Linked DNA regions of Drosophila melanogaster. The protein of the gene in region 1 interacts with the protein of each later gene in a pairwise test. Each region holds a gene or a part of one and is shown on either strand. Other genes may lie near its edges.

Region 1 (6,873 bases):
TGATCACTTTTATTGGCCATTTCTTTGCGGCTTTGAGCATGAACAATAATTTACGACCATCTGCGAGGGTTGAACCAACTTTGGTTTACATATACGCCCGCCCCAGACTCATAAATAATCCGAATATGTCCAGCTGTCCGTCCACCTGATTTTTGGTCGTCTGCCCACTTTCACTTTCCACCAATCCCCATTTGGACGGAAGCTGCAGCTTCAACTGCAAGTGGAACCTGGCCTGAACTCAGCTCGATTCTTGGGGTCTTGGCGAAATAAAAGTGAGGAGAAAGAAAAGAAATATCAGAAAAAATAAACAAATGGAACGAGTTTAGCACGCGCTCCTCGCGATCCAAGTTTGTTGGGAGTTCGCCTGGCCGCCACTTTCACGTCAACAGGTTGAACTTGGCTTTTATGGCCATTAAACTCATTGATGTGCGATTTCAATTGCTTTGCTGGCACTCTCGTTTTACGTAAGACCAATTATGGCTGTCGAATTGATTTTGGCCAGTGATGCAATTCGATCAGCTGTATTATTAACTTACATTTCGCGATGGATTGCGATAGGAGAGCGGCTGTGGTATTTCACTGGCTAAGAAGCAGGAACTAAACTAAATCAGGTGTTAAGATACCGTGAGACTCGTAAATGGCTACATAGTGAAGTTATCGCCCCCACCCCCCCTGGGGATACTTTAACTAAGCCCATCGAGCCAAACCCAAATGAACTGTCAACGGTCGTTAAAAATGCAGCCGCGTAAACATTTAACGGCCGTTAAAACTGCGCCTGAGTGAATTTTTATGGAGTTAGCAACGCCAACGATGCTGCCAAACGGCCACGCCCCCAGCGCCCCTTCTAGACCCTAGTGCCCCCCTCCCCACTCTCCAACTGAGCCTAGTAACCTGAAAAATGCAGTGAACTTTCCAAACAAACATATATATATATATATATGGTGGGCAAATGTTGAACCTCTGGCAGCCACCCACTTGGGTTGCATAAAATTGTATGTGCTTTCTATTTAACACTTTTTATTTTTTTTGGGTGGCTTGGGTTCTGCGTTTATTTTTTTTTTCGCCCGGAAAAAGTGTCTTTTCATTTCAGATGGGACACGCGCTAGATTCGTTTGAAAACTCAATGCAAAGAAGCGATAAAAATTGTTGCTATTTGCGTTCGTTTCAGTTTGCTCAGTCGGATTTTATGGCATTAGAAGTGCTGCGAAAACTAGTTAACAATTCCTTTACGATCCGCTAAGAGAGGCAAAAGGAGCGAAACTACTACTTCAACTTCTACTCCTACTTCTAATACTACTATCTGCATGGCGTTTTAAAAGTTTTCTTTTGTTTTGACATTATTTGGGAAATTGAAACTGTAATATTTGCAGCGAGAGCTGCGAGAGCTAAAGTTTGATTAAATTACGTTTTTACCATTTGGCTTTCGAGTTTTACAGCTGTTTACAAGTTGTATTTATTGTACTGGCAGTTTAAAAGTGCTGAACTGGCTTTTATTGTACTCGGTTTATTTTTTCAAGACAAATAACCAATAATAAAAGTCAGCATGGCATGGAGGTGATAAACTTGTAAAAGCAATTCAATTAGTTTTGATCATCTTCTGGCTTCTTAGTTACAAGGGAATCAACATCTCAGTGGGCAAACAGAAGGTGTTTTTTGTATCAGCATTCAATTAGTTTTAGAAAAATCATTTATTTTGTGGAAATTCGTTTTGGGTTAATATAAACTAAATCACTATCTTTTGTTTGATTTGATTAAGTTTTGGATTCGTGTATGTTTTTATTTATTTATAATTTTTTCTCTAAAGTTCCATGTCTTTAACCCAATCAATACAAACACATTCCCTCTGGACTTTATTGTTCTCGTTCGCTTTCTTTCATGTCGAGCAGGTTGCTTCATTAAATGGTTTCTGTAATTGCTGTTTGGCCACAAGTTTGTTTAATTGTTGGCTGCAATATGCGCTTACGGCATCGTCTCTTGTTGTATGCAACAAGCCGGAAAAACGTGCCACCCAGACGAGTGGTATGGTGTGGAGTGGAGTGGGCCAAGACCCAGGGCCAAGACTAAGTTCCAGACCAAGAGCAAGACCAAGACGGAGAGCGAGTCGAGACAGCAGAAGAAATGGTAGCAGGCAGGCAAAAGGCACAGCTTGGGCTAATTGTTAATGTGGCAGTGAGATGTGGGTGGTGCAACGTGGGTAGTTACCAACTGCAGTGGCCGTGGCAGTTAGAACCAGTTTGGTCTTTTTTGCCCTGGCCAAAAACCGGCGGCAAAGTCAAGTTCAATGCACATAAAAGACTTTACGGGTCTAGAAAGTGCTGGGGGTACGAGTGCTTCCTGGGCCACAAGGAAACTTGGCTGAAAAGAAATGCCAGCAATGGTCGCAAACTTTTTTTTTTTTTTTTCCATCCACTTAAATTGCAAATTTCCAGTTTCGATTGCAAATGCTGCTGGTGCATTTTCCTTTCGTCCCGGCAGTTGGATATGGATTCCAATGTCGATTCGGTTAGATAACCACAGCGGGCCTTCATAAAGACCGGGGTCATAAAATGGAGAGCGTTTTGGCCAAAAAGCACAAACAATCAATGCCAGTTGCATAACGAATTTTTGAGCAAAGATACTTTGGAATACGCTTTATGATTTTAATGCCTGGTAATTAAACGAAGTCTGGCCAGTATTCGCTGGTTTCCGGGCTAATTGAAGTTCAAGTGCAATGAAAATAAATTGCTTGCGAAATGTGCGTGCGCCAGGAAAATGAGAAGAAGCCCGCCATATGCAGTGACTGGCCGCGTCCATTTCCTGGCCAGAAAATGAAAATCGCTGCATCGAAGGCCGACACTTTTCCCAGGCCCACGCCCAGAAATTTCGCTCGAAGTCTCTCCACTGGCGCTTGTTGTTTTCACGCCTCGATGGCCCTTGCAGTTGTCGGTTATTTATATTAAAATTTCAGAATGATGAACCCGACCCGAAACGAACCGACCCCATGTACTTACCATTAAGGTGGGGATGCCACCGCCGCAGATAGCCATTTCCATTTTCCTTGGATGTCGGCGGAAGTTCGGGCAAATGAGGCGTCAAGTTGCACGTTGCACTTTTCGCGTTTCCACAAAAGTGGCAGCTCAATTTGTAATTGTTGTTGAAATTTCTGTTATTCTCCCACGCTGTTTTTCGCCGTCTTGGTATTTTAAATACAAATTGTAAATGAGTTTGTTCAGCGTTGAACCTTATTGTTTGTTTGTCGGACCTGGAAAAGTATTCGTTCAGTTTGGTTAACTATCACAGCAGCTAATTGCGAAAAGTGCTTTTCAAATTCTCATATTAACTGTTTTAAACATTTCCCCATAATTATGAAACATCATAATTAACAAATTAGTAAAACAAAAATCATTATATGGTACTTTAACAGATGACACATCTGCAAAGGCTGTGTTAAATGAGTACTTTTTAAAACTATGAAGGCAGAAAAATAGTATCCTGCGATTTCAAAAATTCCTGTTCTTAGAAAATCAAATGAATGACAAATGAATGAATTATGTTTAATGAGAATTATTTCTGATCTTATATTCTTTACCAAAATCTTTTTCATTAGTAACTAAGAGATTTTTGAGATAAAACAAGACCATAAAATCTAATTTAACAAATTTAACTATCTAACTAATCGTTTTCGTTATTCGTCCTTAGATGTTTCACTTATAAGTTTCACTTTTGTCATTCAGTAAAATATTCATTAATTTGCTCGACGTTTAACTTGATGCGTTTATATTTTTTTGATTTAATTTATTTTAAGGTATATTATATCCTTGTTAGCCAGCACTTTGGTTAAATGTAATGCAAGCTCTTTATATTTTTTTTTTTTTTACAAAATGATTTTCTCATATCCTTTGCGGAGAAAAGCAAACTTTGACTATATTCATTCAACTTTGTCTTTGAGCTTTGTTTAAACTTGCTCGTCGCAGTCCTCGTTCGTTTCTCATTTATTTAATGCGACTTTTAATTTGAGTTTTCGTTTCGTTTCGTTTCGCTTTGCCTTGTTTACTTTTGGCTGGAAAAACTGTGGAGGAAAACCGCACGCTTGCGCGCTGCTGTTGCAACTGTGCCTCGAATTTTCGCGCCACTTGAGTTTTGTGTGTGTTCGGGGCCGCGCAGTTTTCACGGAGACAGCCGGTTTGTTGTTGGCTCGCTTTTCGCTGCCTCGCTTTTCCCATTTTCCATTTCCATTCCTTTGCCTTTGCCGAAAAGACTCGGCCATGTCTGGCGTATTGCTGTTGCATTTTCCATATTTTTTCTCCTCCTTCTTTTTTTTTTGAATTTTATTTTTTTATGTGTGGGGCATAATAAGCTGCTGATTAAATTTGCAACGCTCAGAAGGAAGTCGAATTTGCAATTTATTCGGGGAAATTCATTTGCATTCCAAATCTGTGGGGATAAATGGAAATTAGACAGGTGCTACGATGCCAAAAATGATTTTACCTATATTAATTGTTACATTTTTTATAAATTCCAATGATTAAGAGTTTATTAAAGTTGTCTTTATATTTGATATATATATTCTTCAAACAGAGCATTTCTTTTTCGACTTTTGAAAATTGAAAACCTCACCACTCACTTGATATTTGTCTTTTAGCTGGCTGCATTTCGAGCTGCTTTTTTGGCCATGGCTTTGGCCAAGGCGTTAGCCAACTTTTGACCATCAACATTTGCACAATATGCGCTGTTGCTGTGCTGATGACAACGAAATGTACAAGTTTTCCTACCATCTGTGTGCATTTTTCTTTATTTTTTACGAGGGCTTAGAGTGCGTGCGTCTGGGGATAAAACTGAGCTCAGTGCCGTCATGGTTGTATAATTAATTTATTAATGGCAACAAGTGAAATGCACTGCCACGCATTTCCTATAAGGCTTGGCCCAGCCTGATTATGTGATTTATAGGAACTTATATATTTATAAGTTTGATATTGATATTTATATTTGATTTATAGAACTTATACCCCTTGGTTGGTGTGATGTGGTGACTGGTGGGTAAGAGAGTGCTAACCCCTGGGAAAGTTCAACTGCAGATATTATGCAACAGGCAACCGCGAGTCACGCACGCGCTGCCGCAAATGAAGTAGCTGACAAATTATCTTTATTTCATTTTATATTATTTTATTGCAGCCCATGGTGGGACTTTAAAGCGGCTTAGAGTGGCGAGGTCGGACTATCTGTTCGAGTGCATCGAAACCTGGGCCAGATGCTGAGCTGATTGGGGATTTTTGGCTATGATTGGTGGTTACCACGGGAAAGAGAGTGAGAGAGAGAGGGGGGGAGGCGGCTTTTGGCACTTTCACATTTGTTTTTGCTGGTGTTGAAATTGAGTTATTAGAGGAGAGCCATGTAAGCGACCAGGGGCGTATACTTAATATTTAAGCAAGGGGGGGGGGGGGGTAATATTCCCAGCTTACTAATGAATACATATAATTTTTATCAATTTTATAAAATCGTTTCTTTTTCATGACCAGAGCTTTCGACATCACTTTCTTTACCCCTTCCGCCGAGAGTCTTAATTCCACACCTCTGGGCACGTTCCTCGGGCAATGTGCCAACCTCCTACCGAAAGCCACATAATTGCTGTAATCGCGGTGGAGATTTGCAATCTCGTAATAAATTCAGACACCGAAGATGCGCCAGAAGTTGGAGGAGCCGCTCCCTCCGGCCGGAAACCCCCATGTGGCCACCAGATGCGTCGCCAGTTGCAGCTGCAATAGGCGGAAATCTCACACAGAAAGTTGCATTGCGGATGCAGTCATCGTCGTCGTTGTCGTCTCCCGGCTCCATCTCCATTTCCATTCCCATTTCGATCTCCTCCAGACTTCGGTTGCATTTGTGCGGAAGTTTAACCAACTAACAAAGTGACTTCGAGCTCGAATCGGGGGCAACAATTGTTGGCCAAATGTGTGGATCTGTTAACGCTTCCAGCCGCTCATCCCGGTCAACTGGTTGATCCAATCGAGGCAACGATGTTCCAGTTTTGACAATGGCCATGCCCGAAACTTAATTGCCATTAAATTGTTTCGCTTAAAACTTGGACAGTTGGTCATTTGGTTTTGAGGAAATGACCGCACCGCCGCTGATCGGATCGCATCGAACATTTTAATTGACTCGCTGCCAGCTTCCTTCATTCGCCAGATCAGGATCTTCCTGCTCCCTGCTGGTCTCCCTGCCGCTGCCTTAATTGTCCGACACTTCCCGTTCACTTCGTGGTTTTGCTTCCCATCAGCCCATCCTCCAGTCGCCGCCATCTATCCTGGCCGCCATGCCATACCGTGCCAGACCGAACCGAACCAAACCAAACCGACTAGACCAGGCCGAAATCTAATTACGCCATCGCAGCCAGAAAGCCAACGAGCGCAGCAAATTGACAACACAATAAACAGGAGGCCAAAAGGGGGAATGGAAGTTCCGAGTTACTGGACTGGGAAGGTTGGAGTGCAGCTAGGGCAGTTCGGAGGTTTCGGGTGTCACACATGTGCGACAGTTTCTGATTTATGAACACAATTTCCACTTTGACAATGAGCGAGTTCTCCAACTCTCTAGCACTTCGCCGATAGCTCCACAGAGACAAAAGTGGATAAATAGGAAAGTACACTGATTGGAAAAAAAACAGTAACCTGCGCTGTTTTTAAACTTAAAGTTGGAAAGATTTGGCAGGCAAATATTAAGGGCTTAGTGCTACCATACAAGTTCTTATGTTTTTTGACTTTAAAGAAGTTTAAAAAAACTGTGTAAAAGTACTAAGTACTTAAATATTTAAAGGATTTTAAGGATTAAGTGAAATCCAATTGAAAAGAGAACAAAGTAAAATCTTATAAGAGTATTTGCAATATTCAAGTATCCATA
Region 2 (4,350 bases), on another chromosome or scaffold:
CCGTGTGGATACTAATATTGTGCTTAATTTTACTTTTATATTTTATATTAATTTAATTAAATTTACGAATTTGAGTTAACTTCATATCCAATCGGTGAACGCAATATATTATTTATTGGATATTATAGGATACTTATTACATGGATGTTGTAACATTGGATGTTAAATGGATTAACGGCGCATCCTCTTGGATTTCTTCAAAGTCTGACCCACCAGTTGAGCAATATGTTTGCGCAATGCCAAGAAAGGCTTCAAGCAGACGCGCTGCTCGACGAGACCCACAGCAATGCGGTGAAAGAACTCGGTGACATCCACGGGCTTGGCCAGCAGCTGACCTTGTGATACCGAGCCGTTTTCCTCTGAGGCCTCGGGCGTAGGGCTACGTGCCATTCTACGGATGAATGGTTCCAAGTTGCCCCTGCTACGTTGGGAAACGCGAGCTCCAATGGACTCTGATAGCGCATTATTGGCGCGAGAGAAGGTGAGACGCTCCTGAGATCCCGAGTCGTTTTGATCCGGAGTCTCTGGCTTCTGTATCACCAGTTCGGGTGAGGTGGGGTTTTTCTTTGGAATTTTCGGAAACTCGGTAATTTCGGTAATCTCCAAAGCACTGTGGGGACGTCTTCTGTAGAGAATCCGAACCCGTTATTCCACGTTCTACATTACGAAACTATAACTTACGGTGTACCCGCCTCATAAGTGACATATGGGGACCAGTCTGCCCCATCCAAATCCATACTAAAAGGTTCACAAAATGAAGAAAAATGATTTTGTTTTATAACATTAAATTTACTCACTCATCTTCGTTGGAACAGTCATCATCTTGATCACTTTCCCTGATTATAAGGCAACTTAAAAATAATCTATCAAAACATTATATTAAAAAGACTTACACAGAAGACTCGCAGGTAATCTCGTCACTTTCGGGAGCACTAGAAAGGAAATACATATATTGTCAGTGTTTTTCTGAAGCTAAATTAATGAAGTCTTACGTAGCTTCTTGATATTCATCATCATCGCCCACAATATGAGGAACCTTTGATTGGGACCTGCAATGAATAATCCATCAATATATTTAATGAACTGCTTTAATTTTAATTACATTTTTAACAAATTTTCAACGCCTAGCTCCTGGAAAATGACAATGTGAAAAGCCGTGCGGCCAGTGTGTCCACTCCAAGGAATGTTTAATAAGAACATCAGTGTTGATCAAAATACTGTTGAAAACTTACTGGAGCATATGTAATTAATATATAAAATTCAGTTAAAGCTCAAGTCACGTGTTCTTAACATTTAGTAAAAATAGAAATTTATACTAAAGGTTTTGGTAAATTTGAGCCTTAAAATTTTGGTTAAGTTTAGCCTTAAAATGGCAGTTAAACATAAAAAGTTTAAATTCCTATAAAAAGACGTACCAGTGTTGTACAACAGGCTTAATTTACAAACTTCCAAATACAAATGTAATTATACATATTTATGTAAAGTCAAGCCATCACAATTTAATTCCACCTTTGGAAATGTTTTTATATATTGGGTGTTCGTTTTTATTGAACTTGACATGCTTATGACTAAATAGTTAAGGAAACTGGAATTGGAATAAATACAGCTCGACCAAAAACACAAGCCACAATTATGCAATAAATTCAATCCTTTAATGTGACATATAGTTAACTTATTCGAGTACTCTTTCTTAGACATATGTGGGCTATAAACATTGTAAAATCTCTACTGCATTCGATTGGGAAACATAAACCACAAGACATGGGCGGAAATAGCCTATTCCTGGCTGATTTCATTGGCATCTGAGAAATCCGAGACGGCGACGCTGCTGGTGCTGATTAAATGTCGATCGGGCATTTCGCCGATGGAAGGAAGAGTGGTGCTATCGCTGGCGCTGGACAAAGATATCTCCTCCCAGCTGACGCCGGAGTCGCATTCGTTGCCCGGGGAAACGGGTGTGGCGTCGGCATTGTGCGGCTCATCCTCCGGTGCCTGGCCAATGCTGATAGCCGGCGTTGCTCTGGAACGTTTGCCAACTAGTTCGACGTTTTGATTGCGATCCGCAGCAATGCGCTTGCGATCGGGAATTTGATTGCCCGTGGTGGGACTCCAGTCCATGGCACGGTGCACCAAAGCCCGAAAAGTTATACGGATCGGCTCGCTCGGTGGACTGTCCATGTCTGAGGGATTTCTTCTGGACACTTGCGGCGACATGATCATCGTGGAGTTGTGCAAAGCACTGGGATGCGAAGTCAAAAAATCAGACTCGCTCTCCTGTCGACATTAATGAGAAGCTAATTACTATTTATTGTTTATTGTTAACTGAATACTTTTCCCACGTGCAGAGCCCTTTCTAGATCCTCATCCTGGGGACTGATACTAGCTGATTGCTGCACGACACTTGCTAATTCGGTCATTTCCTCAATATCCATGCCTTCCTCGTAAACGCCTGCGCCTGAGCAAATAGTTAGTTATATATGTATGTATGTTAAGGACGTCTAATTTAGAATATCTTACTTTTGAGGAAGTCAACTAATCTCCTGTTTGTTCGGCTGCGTAACTCCATTTTCAATGGGACAAAAACAACAACTTTAGTACTAATATTATGTGGTTACAATGCATTTGCTCTTGTTCTTGCTGCTAACGGAACTTTTCGCCAAACTGAAATCGTCTATAACGCCATATCGATAGTTAAGATGTGATCTCAAGTAATGGTCACACTTAGAGATGGTGCAACAAGTTTTCGAGTTGTATGTGAAAATATTAAAAACTATTTAAAAAAAAAAAAAAACGATAAGGCTCTGAAAATGTTGTGGTTATTATAAAGTGATATAAGTGATTAAGTTCTATAATGTAACTTGATAAAATTGTATATGTTTTCCTCGTAATTTAAGTCCAGTCTTTTAATTACCTCAACAAAAAGCCTTTAAACTTCGTTTGGTATTACACTTAAAAAACAATTTATGGGTAAAAAGCTGGGCTCCAAAATGGCGAAGTTTTAACACCAGCTCTGCGAAGTTGAAATGCATCGTGAAAAAAGTAAATACTTTGCGAACTTTTTGTGTGGTCAACCTGCTGACCAAAGTTGCAGCTTTCACTACCCACAACGCTGGCAATTGTTTTTCTAATTTAAGTAAAAAAATATGCGTCTCTTTGCATTTCGTTTGCATGCCCAGCCACCTGCGAGTTTTCTGGCCCCCTGAACACGCCCCTTTCACTTTTTACATACATACCTCGGACCCCATCGTTGCATCCCAAAACGAAAAGCGAGTTGAAATTCAACAAAATGTCAAAATGCCACTTGAAGTCAGTTTGCCATTTTCGCTGCCATGGAGCGCCTTTTCGACCCGAAAATTGTTCTTTCTGTGGGGCAGTTTTCAGCTCGACTTTGTCCCCATGGAAAGTCATAATACCCTGAATATTTTGAGATCATACACGGACTGGGGTGCTTCAGAAATATGCAGGCTTATGAAAACCTATTTAATAGCATTCGTAAATTTTTCGTGCCTTAATTTAGATAGGTTAAAAAAAGAATTTACGTTACATGTGTACCTTGTTAAGTTTTTTAAAAAACAAAAATATATAATTTATTATATTCCATATATTTACATATTTTATACAATTTATTTTGGTTTTTCATATTTTTCAAGGTATTTACATTATTTTCTTGTTATATTTTGGGCATAACTTTTTTCCTGATACTATTTTCTATATAACCAAATTATTTTGCTGGTTAAAACCAGCGACACCAAAAATAAAAGCACAAAAAATAGGAAAAGTTTCGATGTCGTCGCGTTGGCGAGCATTGCTTCTTTTGCATAGGAGTCGCCATTGAGTCCCAACTGCATTTGGCTTTACTTTCCCCTCGCCGTCGACCCACCCAAACCTCAGTTTTAGTGGCACGTCAAAGGCAAATAAATAAAAAAAAGAATGAAAAAAAAAAAAATTGAGAATAGAAGAAAAACCTGGACCAAAGCCGTTTGTGTTAGCCCGCATTTTGTACAGTTTTTGGCTGGCATTTAAAGTCCGTTCAATTACCGCGAAACACGTTTGACAGGGCAACAAAAAATAAAATAAAACGTCGACTTGAATTATTTGCGTTAGCTAAGGTAACGAGTTTAAGCGTTCTGAGTGGCGAAAATGTATTCAAATTTTATGCGTTCCTTTAACCCTTTAATGCCCCACCCCTTTTCGCAGGCAGTGAAGCAGCTAACACTTATTGGATTAGCAAATATGTGCCGCTGTCGATTTGCTTTTAGTGGCTCCGTTTTATGTTTTCATTATGGTGGGGGACTAAAGGATTTTCGCCATTAACTTTTGCTCGCCAGCTTTCCGGCACATTAGGCAGCC

What was found.
Region 2: the proteins of Cpr50Ca (region 1) and CG14931 interact in a two-hybrid assay, tested with the Drosophila melanogaster proteins (one large-scale study listed by BioGRID).

What each region holds. Positions count from the first base shown.
Region 1 is NT_033778.4:13,767,134-13,774,006, reverse strand, and holds the start of Cpr50Ca (cuticular protein 50Ca), read right to left. Parts: upstream 4,093-6,873; 5' UTR 4,034-4,092; intron 3,242-4,033; 5' UTR 3,033-3,241; coding exon 2,991-3,032; intron 1-2,990.
Region 2 is NT_033779.5:11,786,758-11,791,107, reverse strand, and holds CG14931 (uncharacterized protein), read right to left. Parts: upstream 2,775-4,350; 5' UTR 2,567-2,774; coding exon 2,518-2,566; intron 2,456-2,517; coding exon 2,331-2,455; intron 2,275-2,330; coding exon 1,777-2,274; 3' UTR 1,633-1,776; downstream 1-1,632. Other genes in the region: Tsp33B (tetraspanin 33B), read left to right, coding at 1-15; CG14932 (uncharacterized protein), read right to left, coding at 172-625, 682-738, 798-836, 894-932, 993-1,049, 1,103-1,104.